Danio rerio: one gene and its partner. Each later gene encodes a partner of the first gene's protein in a complex. Links are inferred from orthologs where the notes say so. Each region holds a gene or a part of one and is shown on either strand. Other genes may lie near its edges. The genes, in order: mmut and mmaa.

Region 1 (11,193 bases):
TTAAGCTGAATACTAGCATCTTGAAAAATATATAGCAAAATGTTATTTACTGTCATCATGACAAAGATAAAATAAATCAGTTATTAGAAATGAGTTATTAAAACTATTATGTTTAGAAATGTGTTGAAAACAATCGTACTAATCTTAAAATATAAAGTGGGGCTAACAATTCAGGAGGGCTTATGATTCTGACTTCAACCGTACATAATAAAAGTCTGCTTTCTTTTTTGCAGCGGGCCAGCAGGGTCTGTCTGTGGCTTTTGACCTCGCAACGCACAGAGGTTACGACTCTGACAATCCCAGAGTTCATGGCGATGTGGGTATGGCGGGTGTAGCCATCGACACCGTAGAGGACACCAAACTCCTGTTCGACGGCATCCCACTGGAGAAGATGTCCGTATCGATGACAATGAACGGAGCCGTCATTCCCATTCTAGCCATGTTCATCGTGACTGGAGAAGAGCAAGGTGTGCCGAAGGAGAAGCTGACGGGCACCATCCAGAATGACATCCTCAAAGAGTTCATGGTGCGAAACACATACATCTTCCCTCCAGAGCCCTCAATGCACGCCATCGCAGATATCTTCGCCTACACTTCAAAGGTGATGACTTTTTTGCAATTCATTGTCTTATAGTGAAAATCTGACCCAAGGGTAGGGCTTCACGATATTGAAAAAATCGGACATTGTGATATTTCATATTTCTGCGATCATATATATATATATTGCGATATGAATATAATTTCATATTTGGAAAGTTTTCATTCATTTAGAGAAATCAGGATGATCAAGAGAGTCTTAACAGTAATTAGGTAGAGAAATTTAACAATCAAACGTAAAATAACATGTTTATAATTGGATAAATTATTAATAAAATAACACACATTGCGATATTGATGCTTAAACAATATATTGTGCGGCCCTACCCAAGGGGATAGAATACAAAGGAGGTGTGGGCATCATAGAGTGTGTATGTGAAGTGTCAGCTCAAAATACCACCAAAATAATGGTTTATACCTCTTTGAAACTGTCCGTTTTAGGCTTCCAAATTGTGTTGTTTTGGTTACTTTCACTTTAAATTCAAATGAAATTCCCCTAATGGTTTGCTTTAGCTAGTTGTTTTAAACTCAAAAGATTTGGTTTTATTTGAATTCCTGATAGCCCTCTGGGCAGGCACTCTTTTTATTGGTAGCCCAAATATAAAATTTAAGTAGGCCAAATAGAAAATGCATAGTTTTTTTTAAATAAAAAATACGTACATTTGCTTAATCAAAAATATATAATAGCATTTTTTATAGGCTATATATTTATTTTTTTAAATAACCAAAATTGTCTTATTTAACTTTTTACAGTTTTTATTTAATTATTATTTTTATTTAATTAACCAAACAAATAAACATTGTTTTTTTTTTTTTTTTTTTTTTTTTTTGCAGCTATAAAAACTTTCCTAAATACACACTCTGTATGTGCATTTATGTACAGTTGAAGTCAGAATTATTAGCCCTCCTTTGATTTTTTTTTTTTTTTTTTTTTTTTTAAATATTTCCCAAATTATGTTTAACAGAGCAAGGAAATTTTTACAGTGTTTCCTATAATAATGTTTGTTCTGGAGAAAGGCTTATTTGTTTTATTCCGGCTAGAATAAAAGCAGTTTTTAATTTTTCGAAAAACATTTTAAGGTCAACATTATTGGTCCCTTTAAGCTATATTTTTTTGATAGTCTACAGAAAAAATCATCGTTATACAATAACTTGCCTAATTACCCTAACCTGCCTAGTTAACTTAAGTAACCTAGTTAAGCCTTTAAATGTCTCTTTAAACTGTATAGAAGTGTCTTGAAAAATATCTAGTCAAATATTATTTACTGTCATCATGGCAAAGATAAAATAAATCCGTCATTAGAAATGAGTTATTAAAACTATTATGATTAGAAATGTTGAAAAAAATCTTTCATTTAAACAGAAATTGTTCTAAAATTATTTTAATAATTAATAATTATTAATAATTAATAAATAAGTAATAATCCAGGGGGGCTAATAATTCTGACTTCAACTGTATATAAATGTTTATCTTAATGTGTCTTCACAAAATCCCATTATCACAATAAAATACATTTTTAAAACATAATTGAGTGGAAAAAATAATAGCCTAATAATGTAGTAGCATAGTAGCCTGTGTGTGGCAGCATTGCGTCATCTTGAATGATTGGGCCTAACTGGTCTCGGAATACATAAAATGAGCCCTTTTTGTTTTTGTTTTCTGGCGATTTTTTTTGTTATTCGAAATTTAAAAAAAAATGAAGTTCAAATAGTTTTTAAAATTTTGATTATCCTTTTTTTACCATAAAAAAGAAAACACCTCATATTTCAATTTACGTTTTTGATTAAAAAAAAAAAGATAATCAAAAAACAACTTTTTTTTCAATATCTGTTTCCTTAATGAACATCCAATGACCAAAATATACACGGACCTATTTCAGTACAGAACAAGCGATTAAACTGACAGAAACACTGCATTATTTCGGAGGTAGTTGATTATATGGACCCTTTTCACAAGATTGTTATGATGCGTTTTTTTTATTTTTATTTTTTTAAAAAAGTATGAACATTTATATGCATTTATGTATGTTATATCATTGTTGCGTTAAATTACAAAAAACGATTCACCGCCTATGTGAGGCATTTGTAATGCAGAGTCTATGGGGCTGAAAGTAAATTTGATGTTGTTCTCTCCTCTGGCTGCCGTTATCAGTCTCACACTATTTTCCCCTCTTTTTCTGAAAGCAGAAAGCAAAGTCTTGATAACAACATCATGGCATTTTCTTGTAAAAATGAAAATGTTGTCTTTGTGTTTTAACAAAAGAAAGAAATTTAATTTCGAGAAGATCACAAGCTTATGATTGCTAGCGGCTGGATCTGTATAATCCAATTCTCAATGCACTAATCAGATGACTCCTAAGCTACTACAAATACCTTGGGTTACGTACCACTGCTATCTTCGTTTTAGAGAGTCCCCCTATCCACCCCTACTCCTCCCTCTTCCTAAATGGGTGACATGGTGGCCCAGTGCTTAGCACTGTTGCCTTACAACAAGAATGTCTCTGGTTCCAGGCTTTACCAAACCAGTAGACGTTTCTGTGCGGAGTTTGCACTTTCTCCCTGTGCTCAAGTTGGGTTTCGCCCGGGTTTCCCGGTTTCCTCCCACCGTCCAAAAACATGCAACTTAGGTTAATTGGTAACACTTTACAATAAGGTTCATTAGTTAATGCATTTACTAACATGAACTAATCATGAACAACACATGTACAGCATTTATTAATCATAATTGAACAGTTACTAATGCATTATTAACATCCAAGTCCATGCTTGTTAACATTAGTTAATGCACCATGACTTAACATGAACTAACAATGAACTACTGTATTTTCATTAACTAACGTTAACTAACATGAACAAATACAGTAGATGTATTGTTCATTGTTTGTTCATGTTAGTAAATGCATTAATTAACATTAACTAATGAACCTTATTGTACAGTGTGACCGGTTAATTGACTAATCCAAATCGGCACTATAGACATGCTCCTAGTAAGTACTTATCTCTTAAGAGCAATCACTATCTGTTCATTAGTTACTACAGCAGGGGAGTTCTCGAGATCTACCTGAGCTCAAACTCCCCTCTCGCCTTGCAACGGGAGGGAGCTCCGGGCTCGAGGATCTTATGAGCTCAGGGCGGTCTCCCGGGACAGCATGCCAAAGTAGCTTATAATTAATCATCAGCTAAGTGTGAACTCTTGAAACAGATTTTAAACAAGCATTGAGTTCTATTCTGAACTTTGTATAAAAAGGTACATCTTTACTTTTGACAAAATTAGATAAATTTACTCAACACAATGAATTTTCTTTTTTCAGAATATGCCCAAGTTTAATTCTATTTCCATCAGTGGATACCACATACAGGAAGCTGGTGCTGATGCCATCCTGGAGTTGGCTTACACGATTGCCAATGGACTGGAGTACTGCAGGACTGGACTAAAGGCTGGACTCACTATTGATGAATTTGCACCCAGGTTAGCTTAGAAATTCAGTACATTTCTGCATAAAAATAATAGTACATTCTATTTTAAACAATTTATTACACCATGAATATAAAATAATTGTTATATTTAAAGTAATGCACTGTTATAGCTATATTATTCATTCGTTAATATTTGTTAATACTTTCATTGATCATTTTTCAAATAATTAATTAAAAGTATTTAATTCTTCTTAAAATAAATATACAAATCGAATTATTTTCAATTCAATTCAATTAAAAAAACTTGCCTTATCCCCAAAAGGGTTAGAAAATTGTCTTCAGACAGATGCTCACATTTCCAGTAATAACGCAGAGTCGCACAGCTAAAATGTTTCCTAAAGGTTTCATCATATACAGTATGTGAAACGGGCTGTTTTGTGTCATCTCTGTTTAGATTGTCTTTCTTCTGGGGCATCGGGATGAACTTTTATATGGAAATAGCGAAGCTGAGAGCAGCACGACGTCTGTGGGCGACACTCATCAAAGAGAAGTTTCAGCCGAAGAACTCCAAATCCCTCCTGCTGAGAACTCACTGTCAGACATCTGGATGGTCCCTTACTGAGCAGGTACCCTGAACGCAAATCCACAGCCAGCTGGTGAACGGCTCATTAAACAAACTGTGAACAGAAAAAAAAAACATGTCTTATATATGATATATGTGTTAATTATTTTGTCAGTTGCTTGTCTTTCATTTCAATAATGGTATACTTAGTAGCTAAGCAATTTTTAAAATGGATCCCAGGGCATGTTGGCCTATTCGGAAATGAACAAGCAGACAAACCTGCCAAAACAGCCCTAACAGAGAAAATAAGAGTGCAAAATCCCACCTTCAGATTTAAAACTATTAATAAAATGCTATATTTAAAAAAAATGACAAGCAGAATAGGATCTGTGCACTTTCAGAAATATGTAATGTAATGTGTATTTATATAGCGCATTTATTGTGTATGGCCATACACCCAAAGCGCTTCACAATCATGAGGGGGGTCTCTCCACACTACCACCAGTGTGCAGCATCCACTTGGATGATGCGACGGCAGCCACAGGACAACGGCGCCAGTGCGCTCACCACACACCAGCTATAGGTGGAGTGGAGAGACAGTGATCGAGCCAATTCGGTGGAAGGGGATGATTGGGAGGCCATGATCGTAAAGGCTCTTTCACGAGAAGTGCCATGGGATTTTTAATGACCGCAGAGAGTCACTTTTACTGGGGCATTAGGACTCACACAGACCACGCCCCCTGCTGGCCTCACTAACACCACTTCCAACAGCAACCTAGTGTTCCCTAGTAGTCTCCCATCCAGGTACTAACCAGGCTCAGCCCTGCTTAGCTTCAGTGAGTAACCGGTCTTGGGCTGCAGGGTGATATGGCTGTGGCATTTAAATAAAGGTACAGCAGCTGTTACTGGGGTGGTACCTTTTCAAAAGGGTACACTTTTGTATTACAGGTGGACATTAGTACCTTTAGGCAATAGCGGTTCTAGTTTAAATGGAGCCCTGGTTGAAACACCCCACATACACCCCGAATATGGACAAAACGAGTATTGGGATTATTAAAAATATTGATATTTATTATAAATAAAATTATTATTAATATTATTTCATACAATTATTAATCTAAATAAAAAATAGAAAACAATCCTAATGGTAACTGGAAAACAATGTAAAGACAAAACTAGAGTAATATGCTAAGATCACTTTTATTATATTTTGCATGATTATTAATTATGACAGTTAGATAAAATACAAAAAAATATATGTTTTGTAAAATAATCTGTTCATCCTAGACCCAACTCAAGGGGGGTTCACTCTAATACAAGTTTTATTTATGGAGAAAATTGTGTATATTCCATACAAATTATAAAGCTGATCTGTCCGTTCTTGTCACATGACTTGCAATGCTCTTGAAGCATTCATTCAACTGGGAAATAACAAACTCTAAAAGACGCACTATTCGAACAGCCCCTAAAAGGCCACCGTCATTTGCGATCTCCAGCAGTTGATCTTCATGCACAGACATGCTGGATTCACCCTATTTGTTGACAAATGGTTTGCAGATCTGTACCTCGGCGCTACATGGGTCCTTTGCTGGGCCTTTTTCCCTTTAGCAAAGAAACTTTCCAAAAACATCTGTTTCTTACTCCTTTTGCTGCTTGTGAGTTAAATTTGGGCTCTCAAATGTCCAAGATGTAAGCTAGAGAATGGGGTAATTTTTCAAAATAAAAGATTTTTCAAAATAAAAGATTGATCCAAGATTGATGAAAGATGGTGGTTGAGGAGCACTGCCATATCGGACACTCAAGACTCACTCTTGGACATCTACTCAAAAGAAAAGTGCCGCCAAAGTGTCAATATTGCAACAAATAATCAAAGTGTTTTAAATGTATACCTTTGGAATGCCTTGTTTTAATCTTATCTGACAATGATTTTTATCTGGAGAGATATTTTTAAATTTGAATACTTCAAAAATGGTAAAAAAAAATGTATCAAAAGTTTTATGTATTGATTATTACTGCTGAATGTCTTTTTCATTTTTATAATTGTATTATTATAGAAAAGTGATATTTCTAAAATGTATTAAATTTGATATAATAAATTCAAATCTCTCTCTTGGTAGCCACACCCATGTGAAATGCTATCGGTTCAAAACAGGCTGTATTGTAAAATTTCCCTGAACTCAAATATGTTAAGCTCTGCTTAAACTGTGTGATTTTAGCCATGAATTGGTCGTCTAAAACAAAATTGGGAAATTCTAAAAGAAGACCTGAAATCCTATGTTAAAATCTGTAATCTTTTAGGGTTGGATTGACATGTTTACCGACAGACGCCCTGTCTGCATGTTTCAGTTGAAATTAAATCACAGATTAACCAAAGCTGCACGTTTCAAGGCACTTAAAGTCCACGTGAACCAGAAGTTGCTGAGACTTTTATTTCAGTATGTTGATTTACTTGCAATGAAACAAAATATTGTGTTGGGGGCGGGGCTTTCTTTTTGCACATCATTGCCATGTAGCTAACTAAGAGGGGCGTGGTTGAGAATATTATGGCTGGAGCATCAAACTGACATCAACAGAGAAGAACAGCCACTCCAAACATGAAAGCAAAATAGTCAAAATTTGATTGAAGATTACTTAAACAACTTTTAGGAACCAAATACTTAAAAGAAATTATGCTTTAATAAAACAACCACTGTAAAATTTGATTTCACACAGACTTCAAGAATAACTTTAAACATAAATTAAATTCTGATTGAATTTGCTCTTCAGGACCCTTACAACAACGTGATCCGTACCGTAATCGAGGCCATGGCTGCTGTGTTTGGAGGCACTCAGTCTTTGCACACCAATTCTTTTGACGAAGCTCTGGGTTTGCCCACGGTCAAGAGCGCCCGCATCGCCCGCAATACCCAGATCATCATCCAGGAGGAGTCAGGCATCCCAAAGGTGGCTGATCCCTGGGGTGGATCCTACATGATGGAGGCTCTCACCAATGACGTCTACAACTCGGCCCTCAAGGTTCGTAGGAAAAAAAAATAATAATGAAATTATATATATATATATATATATATATATATATATATATTAGGGATGTGCGGAGCAGCCGGTATTTGTATTTGTATTTGTTGAGGGGGGAAAAGTATTTGTATTTGTATTTGTATTCGAGTAAAATTCAAAATGGCGCAAAAATATATATTTTTTCTATTACACTTCTAATTTACGTTATAGTGAAAGTATTGTTTAATTATACCCATTATATAAATTATAGATATGCCATATTGGCTGTTGTTTTTGAACATGTGACAAGAAATGTCATTGAAAAGAAAATAACATAGAAGCCATTATCTCATCCATGGTTAAACCAACAACTAATAAAATACCATTGTGAATATTATGAACCCCACCACCACCGTTCTTGACACTGAATAGACGGAATAAAAACAAATAATACTTCAAAAAACTGTTCTTTTTCTGAAAGAACTTCTTTCCAATGCACAGAATTCCAAAAACTAAAATTAACAAAATAAATCTAAATAAAACCCTGCCTGGGAGATCTGGCAGAACAAAAGTATTCTATATAATACTAAAAGATACAGCCCTGCTATTGTCATCTGCCTGCCACAAAACAGACACAAAGTTTGTTTGTTTGTTTTTTTTATGTTTGAAACTGACTTGCTGGGGCAGAATGTGGCTGTGTTGATGGTTTGGTGCTTGTGGAGGATTTAGCAGAACATAGCTGTGCTGATTGAGGGGATTGATGCTTGTGGGGGGTTCACAGACAGTATCAGGAGAGGATGCTTTTAGTGCATGTGATAATACATTACATAGAAGGTTGCGCGGTCGCACAGTGAGTAGCACTGTCGCCTTACAGCAAGAAGGTTGCTGGTTCGAGCCCCGACTGGGTTCTCCCCATGTTGGCGTGGGTTTCCTCCGGGTGCTCCTGTTTCCCCCACAGTCCAAACACTTGCAATACAGGGGAATTGGGTAAGCTAAATTGTCCCTATTGTATGTGTGTGAAAGAGAGTGTATGGATGTTTCCCAGTGCTGGGTAGCAGCTGGAAGGGCGGCCACTGCATAAAACATATGCTGGATAAATTGGTGGTTCATTCCACTGTGGCAACCCCAGATTGATAAAGGGATTTAGCCGAAAAGAAATGAATGAATGATTATGGATAGAAGATGTTGACAGATGTTTAATATCTCTGCCTCTGCTGATTTCACTTTTGTAAACATTATACCGTATCACTTTGTTTTATCTGCAGCAGCACTGACTGTAAAATGCTTCCACACAGAACCTGAAGGTTTTTTTTTCTTTTGACTGGTGGAGGACTAAGAAATGGCTTAGCAGCAGTCTTTTTCACTCTTTTTCTGGGTGCCCAAATGTATTTGAGGAGTTTCAAGTTAATAAAAAGTGACGGGAAGCTATGCTAAGGTTAACTAGCCTATAGCATATATCTTGCTGTCTGCAAAAGACAGTAATGTAGACGTACCATATAACTCCCATAAGTGCATACTATTCGACACAACTGCAAAAGCATCGTTTTAACCTTTATAAACGAACGTTAACGTTACTCTGGCAACAGTCTATTTCTAAATTACCGCGCTAACAGAGCTAACGTTGCGTAAACAGAGCACCCGGTTGCAGACGTAAAAAATGCAGCGTAATAGAAAATCCCGATTAAAATTCGCTACAAGTTTATAAACTGCATCTGGAACCCAATTAAGGTACAAAAATCTATTTAACAAAAATAGTAATGCAGTGAAGTATTTTTTTCGCTCAGCTGAGCCTTCTGTCTGTTGCTGTGGAGAAGCTTGTGCCAGACACCCTGTTATCTCCGCCCCGCCCTCCGACATGCCGACTGAGCGTCTCTCTCTCTCTCTCTCTCTCTCTCTCTCTCTCTCTCTCTCCCACTCACTCACTCACTTACGCGGGCATGCACTGTGGTCTCATGAGGAAACGCTGCTTTTTGATATAGTGTTTTTCTTGCTCCCGAATACAAATAATTTTTCAAGTATTTGTTCGAATCAAGTATTCGTAAAAACACGCTATTCGTGCCTTTCCGAATACCGTATTCAGGTTCGGCTCCACCCTTAATATATATATAAATATATATATATATATATATATATATATATATATATATATATATATATATATATATAAAATCCTAAATGCAATAAGGTGCATTTCTGTCAAGTTCTGTCAAGCTATTGTATTGGTAACCTAATAACCAACAGTAAACAAGGCAAGTGTATCAGAGGCCAGCCAGTAGGTGCTGTGCAGGTAAACCTCATTCCTCTGACCTCTAAAGGTGCTCTATCGACAGACGCTAGAGGCTATGCTCTTTAGCCTCCTTGGTAGAGCAACCGACTCCCAGGTGGAACGTCGCCGACTTGATACCAGCTCGGAACAGGTTGGGTGGCGTGCGACTGGCGGGGTTACACAAGCATAATGGAGACAGCTGATTGGTCACATTGGTGTAATGTTCGCGACGTCAGAGTTTATTGGCAAATGTGTTTCCATCTTTCATTTATGCACATTAACCCTTTTTTCACAATTCCAGTAACACCTTATGTTTGTGTTAAACTTTTCACAAATTAAGAGATTTTTATGAGATATTTAGCATTTCTACCTAGCTAGTGGCGAAAAATGTATTTAGTTACAGTATTTGTCAACAATTTTTGTTTTTCCCGTCATATGTCCGCATAATGAAAAACGCACTTGACTTAATGTAATAAATCTGAATTTGCGGTTCAAAAAGTTGATTTAAAGCACGTGATGTAATGATTGTTTATTTGATTCTGGACTCATTATTTGAATGTGAATTATATAATTACAGAATTATTATTTTGTGATTTTTTTATTTATTTTATTTTTTAATATTATTTTAAATAAAACTAATACAATTTATTAAGACTTATACAAATACATATTAATCATTTCTTTAATGAATGAATGAATTAATGAATAGTTAAATCTTAAAAATTAATTTAAAAATAATCCGTATTCTGTATATTTACTGTAATCTGTATTATTCTGTAGTATTAAAGCTGGCTGCATGAATAAATTATTTAACCTAGATATGTTTTATCCATTATATTTAATTAATTAATAATAATAATAGTAATAATGACAACAGCATTTTCATTTACATCTCATAAAACAAAATAATTCTTGGATTTAGAAATAAGTACAAAAATAATAAAATAAAAAAAAAACGTAAAAAATGTAATTTTCTGGCAGCTGGGGCTCCAGAAAATTACCGTAACAAAAGGAAAAAAGACTGTCAGAATAAAAAAATGTAGATAATCTGTAAAAAAACAGTAATTTCTTGTTCCCTAATTAAAAGTTATTACTGTCATTTTACAGATTTTAACTGTAATTACAATTACGGGAATATGCTGAAGCATACTAATAGGACTTTTAATTTGCCAGTAACCTGGGTTAATCGTTTCCTGTGATTTGAATGCCAATGCAAATTCGATCCGTTTAAGGTCCGTTTTCTTTACAAATCAGTGATCTCCAATGGCTGAGTAATATCCGATATAAAGTGGGTCTCAGATTGTACAAGAAGCACTGCATTAAATTACATTTTCCCCCGCCATGTCTTTATAATATG
Region 2 (9,874 bases), on another chromosome or scaffold:
ATTCATTTGATTCATTCAAAATGCTGATTCATTCAGGAATTAAGAAAATGAGTATGAATAGAAATTAAATGATTCAAAAGGGATTAATCTGCAAATGAACAAATCTGTTGGTTTAATTTATATACTTGTATTTTCTTTCATTTATTTAAGTGTTTAGAGCAGGGATGTCCAAACTCGGTCCTGGAGGGCTGGTGTCCTGCAGGTTTTTGCTCCAACTTGCCTCAACACACCTGCACAGATGTTTTTAGATAGCCTTGTAAGAGCTTGATTAGCTAGCCCAGGTGTGTCTGATTGAGGTTGGAACTAAACTTTGCAGGACACCGGCCCTCCAGGACCTCGTTTGGACATGCCTGGTTTAGAGTGTATTAGAGATGCACTTCTGCTCTGACTTAATATTTTTGTTGGCAAGATTAAGGCCGTTTTGACTTCAGTATCTTGAATTTAGGCTCATACGACAGCATTCTATAGGCTCCATCATGCAGTCAGTTACTCACTTGCATCATGTTCATCACCCATAAACTGTATAAAATGTAAGATGACTTCCACCGGTCTGGAGGGACTCTATTTAATTTGATAATAATTTAATGTATATTTTTTCATTATTTTATTAACATTAAATTGTTATCATTCAAAAATCAACAGTGTTTATATATCTTTGTCCTCATTTTAACTTTTTTCTTCTTTGCCACCCTTTCATATAAGTAATAAACAGCCTCTATTATGGGTTTTTGAAAATGACCTTTCATGCAGTAACAGAGCTTTAAGTGAAAAGTAAAATATCCAGCTAAGGCTTAAATATGAAAGTGCACCATGTTTAAAAGGATTGAAAAAGTTTTAAAAATAAGAAGACAAGCACTGTTGCAGACCCTGGTTGAATCATGTCGCAAAGACGCTGTGCTCTGAAGTGTGAGCGAAAATTTGTGTTATTTTTCCTACCCAAAGATGAGGCTGTAAAGAGTCAGTGGTTGAAGTTTATTTATGCAAAAATACCTCTGCATTGTAGCCCCAGCATTGTGCTGTGTTCTCGTCATTTTTTTGACGAGTGCTTCAAGAATCTACATGCTTACAACAGGTGATTTGTCAGCCATTTGTTAAAGAAAGGATCAGAAAAGACTATATGGGACTTTGCAGAGCTTGAGGGGGAAGAATTTACTTGAGTTTTCCAGGAGAAACAACAAAATGGGAGGGTGGCGGGAGATGGGTCTGAAATACGGGAGTGTTGGCAGGTATGCTCACACATACACTCTGCACACTGACTACAACAAAATTGTTGATGAGCCGTGGTTGGCATTTATCTCTGTCTCGCGCTAAACGTAGTAGACAAATCACAACAGACTGAGTCATCAAACCAGTTGTGCTGAGGAGAAGTTTGGGAACAAATAAATCGCTGAACGAATCATATAGGAGTCGCTGGTATAATTAGGTAAAAATAAATACATATTATAAGACAATGAAAATGTTTTTTGACCTTGCATGCATATCAGCCTGTTGTTGGAGACCCCCAAAACCTAAATAAAACCCTTTTTAATGCATAATAGGGGCTTATTTTAAAAGCGTTTTAATTCTATACCTTTATTATTTGTTTAGAAGAGCCATCCTGTCCAGTGAAGTCGTCTTTACTGTCATTTCCCATCATGCTCTGCTCTACGTTGTCAAGTTCTTCCTCTTTGTCTCCTCAGTCCCAGTATTACTTCTACCCGCAGGGCACAGAGCCAACATAGGCAGCCCTTTGAATGGCCAAATGCTGCCTCATGCATTTCACTGATTAGAGGCCACCCACATGGATGAGAAGCGCTAAAGTCTTTGTCTCCTCTTAGCAGCATGATTTCTGAGCTTCATTCCTGTACTGGAGGATGCGACGGTCATATTGATTTTTTTTTTTTTTTTTGCCCTCCCTAAAGACTTTCCAGTATAAAGGTCTACTAAAACCAAGGATGGAGTGACATGTGTGGGCGAACACTCTTTACATTTCTGCATTCTTGCTGTTCGGATGTAAAGCTACTGCCTGCTTCCATTCTTTTTTTCCCTCAAAACAAGATGAATATAAGATCTTAAAATGCGCTCAAAAATTACCTTTGCTGCTTGTTCAAACTATTCATTTAAAATTATTTGAAACACCACAATTTGTTAGGTTTTTTAGAGGGACAACTTAATTGTTTTGTTTAATCCACTTAAGATGTGTTGTTACAACATGGTGGAATTGTGTAGAACCCAGCATTTTTATATTGGGTTTGCACTGCATTGTAATGTGTATATACACAAAAGCACAACAAAAAACTATTTTAACAAAATATTTAATATTATATTATATACAACAGTTCTGTCTGATTCTCGAATCTGATGGGCTGATAGCCACGCAATATTCTGCAATATCAGAACTCGTACAGTCTTTTCACTCTTGTGTATTACTCCGCCCACATAGAGTGACAGCAGATCATTAAACTCACTACAGTTTGACAGATATTGCTGCTGTTGGACAACATAATGTACTTTTGAGGCTTTTTAGGTTAGAATGTAGTTGTTTAAATAGCAACTATGCAGTTAATTTATAAAGACAGTGCCTATTTTAAATATTTATAATTTAAGAGATACTGCGAGCAAGCAACCATTAGTCGTACTGAGCAAAGACGGTTGACATTGTCTATCCACAAGATGGCAACAGAGAACACATGGTTAGCCCTTAGAAGAGAAAAACTCAGCGCAATGTCTAACTACAGCTGATCGAAACATCATAAAACTCTGTCTCTCTTTTTTGAATGTTAAAGTGCTGTATTTATACCATAGTAATTGTGGTGTATTGAGTGTGAGATGGGACTGACATATCAGTAATGTATGTACTTTGTGTTGGCCACTCTTTGCATAACCTTGAATCACTTTTTGGTTAGCCATCTGTTTGTTTCTAATGCGTCCCCTGTTTTCGTTACTGCAGACTAGTTAAGTAAAAAAAAGAAAGAAGAAATGCCCGCATGCGTTTAGCATTTTTACTTATCGCAAACACAACAGTAATCTGGAAGTGTTTGCGTGGCTTTAACTTTTTTGGGGATGATTATTGCGAAATTTCTAATGCAACAGAGAAATACTGAGAAATGTCTGTAGACTGATGGCATTTCATGCCGTTCAGCCCTATAATCTTAAACTGTGAGCAAAATCAGCTGTTTTGTCTTCACTTTAGACATTACGCTAGAGAATCATTCAAGCACTAGCTCTACAGTGATGTTGGTGATGTAGCAATGGTTTCTGCTGTTCTGACGTCAACTGCACAAGAAAGAAAGTAGTTCCTCATACAAAAGGGTTTTTAGATTCTCTGTGTTTGATCTTCTTTTTTTATACACGACTATGCCGTGGAACTGTTGTATAAATGCAATATCACACTCGTAGCAGTGCGATAGGGCTGTATATTGTCACTTGTGTGACACTAAGGCAACACACGTCTCCCATCAGTGCCGATATACAACCAAATCACACTGCCACGAGTGATATCGCTCTTATATTATATTACACATTGATAATGATTGATTTGTTTTAGAGCAGGAATAATGTAGTAAATTGACACTAAAATGTTAAAATTTAAATCATTCATTTTCTTTTTCACATTTAACTGAAAATAAAATTGAAATAATACTAAAATGTTTATAGTCAAATACAAATGTAATAAATTCCATTTAATCATCGTTGACTAGCAACTTCTTTTTTTGCTATGCTTAACATGAACTGTTGAAAACTGAAATAAAAATATTAAAATATGTAGGCATGCAAAATTAATAAATAAGAAATCCTTTAAAGTTTTATCATAAATGCTTTAAACTAAATAATAGTTGCTGTTTTTGATTAACTGAAAAAAACGGCTATAATAATGAAATATAGTCATATAAAAAAATTATAAATATCTCCTTAGCTTTTTATTATAGTTTACTAGCACTCAAATGTAAACTTCTAATCTAATGTTAGCTGGGAAAACTGAAAAGTAATAAAACATGCAAGCATGTACAAAATGTCCCTTAAAGGGTTTAAAAAAAAATGGCCCTTGAAATATTTTTTTATGAGAGGGCCATATAAGAATGTAAACAAAAAACAACTGGTTTTTATTGTGCCTTAACATTAACTGGGGAATAAAATGTAATAAAATAATGCAATATAGTGGAATTTTAATAACTAAATCACTAAAACATTTAAAACAACTATTTAATCTATTAATAAACATCAGTATGTCAGTGATAATCAATCAACACTGCTTCAGATGGTGATCTCTTGTCAACACATTTATATTCGTCCTTTTTCTGGCTCTCTTCACATGTGGTCAGGTGGTGCGCATATCCTCTCAGACGGGGCAGGGTGTGCCGGAGCTTTGGGAAACCATGCTGCACTTCCGGGAGGAGATGCTGAGCAGCGGGGAGCTCCAAGTCCGACGGCAGACTCAGCAGAAGGTGTGGATGTGGAGTCTGATCCAGGAGAATGCTCTCCGCCACTTCCAACAGCATCCAGCGGTGCGTGCAGAGCTCCCAGAGCTGGAGAGCAGAGTCACGTGTGGAGAAATCTCACCTGGACTCGCTGCTGACCTGCTGCTCAAAGTTTTCACAGACACACAGTGATGGAGGGGCTGCTTTATGGGGGAAAAACTGGTTGTTTTAGGGATTACTTGAATGGAAAAATCATTGCAAGATTGAATCTTACAAATGTTGCTTCACTTGATTTTAAAGGATTTTAATTACTGGTGACTTTTGATGATTATGTTCTAATATTGTCTTAGTGTTATCTTGTCCTGTAGATGAGATTAAATGACTAATATGTGTTGGATTTTTTGAGGAATATGTACATTTTGGGACTTGACAATAAAATGTAATTTTCTTCTGATTATTTTTTTCATTTCTTGATATTTTGTTGCCTACCATCATCAACAGTGATAAGATTAAGTAAAAAAAAGCTTGAAAGAATATCTTATAGCATGACAATTAGCATAATTATATATTTTTAGTTTTTTTATTGATTGTTTTAGAAATATCAATATTTTAAAATTATTAAATATTTTCTATTAAAAACGTTTTCCTAATATATGGTAATAAATTAATAATAGAAGCTAAAAGAAAAGGCCATTTTGTGAAAAATACATTTTGTAATGCTGAGAATTACATAAAACATAATAATTGCCACTACATAAATTACAATTACATAAATATATTACAGTAACAGTAATGCTAGAATATAAAAAGCTAAATAATATTTTTATACTTTAAAAATTATATACTTGTTTTATATATGTTTATATTATATTATGTTTATGTTATATTATTTATTAAACATTATCTTCACAGAACTAACTATAATGACTTTTTTTCTTTTTGACTGCTGCCAATTTTACTATGAAACCATAAAGATAAACATATGCTACAGTGTGTGGCTAAAATAGATGTTAATGTGATAATTGAGCATAAATGTATTACATTGAAAACAAGTGACTATACATCAACATGCAGGCCTGTAACCAGTAGAGTTCGGGTGGTTCGAAAGACCCGCCCCTCACTGACAAAGGTCCAGAATTTGTCCCATATGAACTCATTTGTCTTACTTTATCTGCTATGCCACCATAGTTGGGAAATTAACCCATAGAAAAAGGCTTTAAGACCAGGAGAATACTCTGTTGACTGTCCCTTCTGCAAGACTTTAGCTAACAAGTTATATCCAATGCAAACAATTGTTTTTTAGTTCAACATCCAGCTGTAAAGAAAAACACATCTGACGTGAGTGATGTCATCTTTCACTACTTACCTACTGTATCGTTGTTAAATAGAGAAAACATTTTTACAATTACTTTTTGAAACAAACAAACAAAAAAAAATTACCAATAAAATGGTGTGAAGCACCAAAAGCAGCCCATATTAAAATTTATTTGAAAACTTGGCTATTATCCATGAATTTTCAAATGTAAAATCGTGAAGCTCTGCATTATTATTATTATTATTATTATTATTATTACTATTTTGTTTTAATAGTTTATTATTCAAATGGCCAATTTCTGACTGAGGAAAGTTTAATGTTCTGGCCAGTTTGTTATTTGCCAAATGAATGACAATAAGCTCCAGTTTTTAATTTAAAAGTTTTAACAGATTCCTATTTTTTTCTAATGATATATGATGAGTTACATTTATATTTTAAAAATAAGTATTTATATTTTTTTTATTTTAAATCTTTAAGAAATATTTTTGCTACTTCAAAAAGTGAACACACAACCAGCTAATTCAGCTAAAAACTGTGTTTAAATTATCACTAAAATGCAGTATTTGAATCTCATAATTAAAAAGAAAATGATAACTGCAAAAAGATCCACTTTTTGAGAAAAAAAAAGAACCACCACTTTCACCAGGCTGCCTACAGGCCTGACATGTACTTATATACATGTGTTTATATACAATTCAACAAATGACCAGGGGCTGATTTAACCAATAAGCAAGGTAAGTGGCCACTTAAGAAACATGGAGGCCCCCAAGAAGTATAAATTATACCCTATAAACTATATATAACATTGTTTTCTATCATATTTTGTATGGTGAGAGTTAAACAGGTACAATTTTAACATAAACAATTTGTGTTTAGTATACAATCAAATAGAATATTATAATAATGTAATGTTATGTAATAATTAAATAATACAAAATAAAATATCCATCATGGAACAGTCCAGCAGTCAAATTTATAAAAATTATATTATTTTTAGTTGTAATTTTATTTTAAGGAAAATAATCATTTAAAATGTAGAGATTGCATTAATTAAAAATAAGATTGGGTAAAATAAAAAACAGCAATATAAATAAAAATTAATAAAAGTAGAAAGGGTCCCTTTCAGGACTTGGGCCCCATGGCTGGAATTGCTTAAGGCCCCTATATATGACCTTTCTCTTCATGCAGTATGGACTTGTTAAATATGCAAACATCTAACATTTTGCTATTTTTACTGTTGCGTTCTCTACACGTCTACGACCACAAGTAATTCTGCTAATCTTACATAAGAAATCCACTCCACGAATTTCAATGAGCTCATACAGTAAAAAGTGATCTTCTCTCAGCCTGACACTAGATGGACCTGTAGACCTGGCCAGATCTGTGTCCATTATGTAAATCAGCTCTTCTGCATGCCACTGCTGTTTGTCTCAGCCTACAGCACTGTGTCGTCCTTAACAGACTCCGAATATGCTGACTACCAGCCCTCTCCTGTTGATTCCTGTAGCACTACTCAGAATCACAAACTCCAGGAGAATACGCCATGTCGAACAGCACCCTGTTTGTTGTCACCATTGTGTCATTTCTGTGAACCCCAAGTTCGCGTGACCTCATCTGGTGGCTTTTGTCCGGCAAGCTGTGCCGTGTTTGCGTCAAGACGGGATGTTCTGCTGTTTTCCTGCGCACATGCTTTCTAGTCATTATGCCTTGCTCTTCTGTCTTATGACTCAGACTGGAATGCTTTGTGAATACTGATGAACTCTGAAGACCTGAGGGCCGCCCTCTCCATCAATCACCAATAAAAGCTCTTGGCCTTCCAGTGGAAGCGGAGATACGTTACATGTGAGTCCAGGAGCGAGGAAACCTGCTGTCTGAGAGATCATGTTGCAGAGCGAACTGTGTTTATGTACACGGTTAACATTAAGAAAATTGGTTTCATGTACTGCATGCAAGAACCTAGAGGCATAGAATGTAATCAAGTTTAATATCGTGACCATGCCTTTTCATTATTTTAGAAATATAAATAGCAATACCAGTCAAAGAGATTCTTGTTTTTGTTTTTTTGAAATATTTTGTTCATGGATGCTTCGTTTAATGAATCAGAAGTACAGCAATTGTGTGTATGAAATGTTATTTAAAATAACACATATTTAATGTTTCATATTTGAATGTTTTTAAAGCGTAATTGATTTCTGGGGTGGTAATGCTGCTTTTTAAGCAGCCTTTATTAAAATAATAAATTGTTAATATATCATTCATTTTCCTTCAGCTTAGTCTCTATTTCAGAGGTCGCCACAGCAGAATGAACTGCCAACTATTCCAGCATATGCTTTATGTAGTGGATGCCTATCCAGCCACAACCCAGTACTGGGAAAATTGTTAATTAGTGTTAAGTACTATTAATAAAAGGAATTCTCAATATGAATTATGTATCTTATGTTTAAGTTAATGGAAATGTCTGTAAAAATGACTAGTGAGTGTTCTGGCAGAATTTGTTTTCCTTTTTTTTTTGTTTTATTTAAAACAGTGTTCACTGTTTTTTAAGGAATTATTTTATGAATTTAACCTAAAGTAAATACATTTTTTATTACTTTTGATTTATTGATAAATCTTTTCTAAAGTGCATGTCTCATATATTATTAAAAATATTTTATATATTATTATTATTATTATTATTATTATTATTATTATTATTATTATTATTTTCCCAGAGATGGGTTGTGGCTGAAAGGGCATCTGCTATGTAAAAACATGTTGGATAAGTTGGAGGTTCATTCCGCTGTGGCAACCCCGGATTAATAAAGAGACTAAGCCGACAAGAAAATGAATGAATGAATTATTATTATCATGGTGCAGTGGGTAGCACATTCGCTCACAGCAGGAGGGTCGCTGGTTTGAGCCTCGGCTGGATCAGTTTTCGTTTCTGTGTTGAGTTTGCATGTTCTCCCCGCATTCGCGTGGATTTCCTCCAGGTGCTCTGGTTTTCCCCACAGTCCACAGACATGCGGTACAGGTGAATTGGGTAGGCTAAATTGTCCTTAGTGTATGTGTGTGAATGAGTGTGTGTGAATGCTTCCCAGTGATGGGATGCAGCTGGAAGGGCATAAGTTAGGGGCTCATTCTGCTGTGGCGACTTTAGATTAATAAAGGGACTAAGCCGAAAAGAAAATGAAAAAAGGAATATTATTAAAAAATATTCTTAAAGTAAATAAATTTTTTGTATAGTCATATCTCAGATGTCATTTTTTTTACTCTAAATTATACTTAAAAGAATTAAAACTAATATAAATCCTACAATCTAAAAACTATTTTATTAAATACTATAAAATACAGCAAAATAACAACAGAAAATGTCAAATAACAGCATAATTACTAAAACAAACTTTAATCTCAGAATTAAAGATGAGCATTTGAGTAATCTAAATCAAGGGTTCTTAAACTTTTCAACTCGCTACCCCCACAATAACAATTCCAGTGACTCGCGACCCCCACTATCCTCGGAGGCGGTTATAAACACTTTCACTTTCAGAAAAAACTGTCAAAAGTCATTGGGGCAGTACCTTTTTATGACACAGAATTTACCTTAAGACAAAGAAACACATTTGCACCATTGCAGTTTGTACCTTTAAGAACATAATTTGTACCATGGAAAACCAAAATGTACCTTTTGTTTTTAAAACCTGCAGATACAATATCCTACCTTCATCAAAGGTACAAATGTTATCCATGAAGGTACCACTACAGTGGCAAGACGCTTTGTACCTTAACAGTGTCAAATGTGTTTATTCAAGAACTATAAAAGGCATTTTGCTTTATCCAAAATGGGTCAATTTATTTTCAGTAAAAATAAAACATTAAATACATTTTTAAACATTTTTTTAAAGTTTATATTTGTGTTTATGCATCTCTTCCATTTACAATAAAGAATAAAAATACTTCAACATAAATCAAAAGATCTATTTTTTGCTAAACATTTCACAACACTTTTCACAAAAATGTTACAGAAATACAATCTCCCGTACAATATAAAACAGTTTTTTTCTTCAATTTTCACACAATATCTTTGTAATCACTTAAACTTGAATTTACTTTAATTTAATTAATTTAATTTTAAAATAAAAAATAGAATTATGCAAAAGTATTGTAACGAGATACGCACAAT

Evidence for each region.
Region 2: the proteins of mmut (region 1) and mmaa are in contact, whole or in part, in a crystal structure (PDB 8GJU), measured with the Homo sapiens proteins. The link is inferred for Danio rerio from reciprocal best matches to the Homo sapiens genes MMUT and MMAA. Residues at the interface, in NP_000246.2 of Homo sapiens: Lys496, Glu609, Arg610, Glu611, Gly612, Arg613, Arg614, Arg616, Ala635, Thr636, Ala639, Asp640, Gly642, Phe643, Asp644, Val645, Asp646, Ile647, Gly648, Pro649, Leu650, Phe651, Gln652, Glu656, Gln659, Gln660, Val662, Asp663, Ala664, Asp665; in NP_001362573.1 of Homo sapiens: Arg98, Ala99, Ala102, Glu103, Thr106, Glu109, Ser110, Thr111, His112, Ser182, Ser186, Gly187, Gly188, Ser189, Leu190, Leu191, Lys194, Thr195, Met197, Thr198, Ser201, Arg202, Met204, Tyr207, Ile208, Arg209, Pro210, Ser211, Pro212, Arg214.

Annotation. Positions count from the first base shown.
Region 1 is NC_133195.1:47,755,870-47,767,062, reverse strand, and holds part of mmut (methylmalonyl-CoA mutase, mitochondrial), read left to right. Parts: intron 1-233; coding exon 234-601; intron 602-3,908; coding exon 3,909-4,066; intron 4,067-4,468; coding exon 4,469-4,640; intron 4,641-7,342; coding exon 7,343-7,591; intron 7,592-11,193. UniProt on the Homo sapiens protein: Catalyzes the reversible isomerization of methylmalonyl-CoA (MMCoA) (generated from branched-chain amino acid metabolism and degradation of dietary odd chain fatty acids and cholesterol) to succinyl-CoA (3-carboxypropionyl-CoA), a key intermediate of the tricarboxylic acid cycle.
Region 2 is NC_133176.1:39,117,551-39,127,424, forward strand, and holds the end of mmaa (methylmalonic aciduria type A protein, mitochondrial), read left to right. Parts: intron 1-4,301; coding exon 4,302-4,589; 3' UTR 4,590-4,851; downstream 4,852-9,874. UniProt on the Homo sapiens protein: GTPase, binds and hydrolyzes GTP. Involved in intracellular vitamin B12 metabolism, mediates the transport of cobalamin (Cbl) into mitochondria for the final steps of adenosylcobalamin (AdoCbl) synthesis.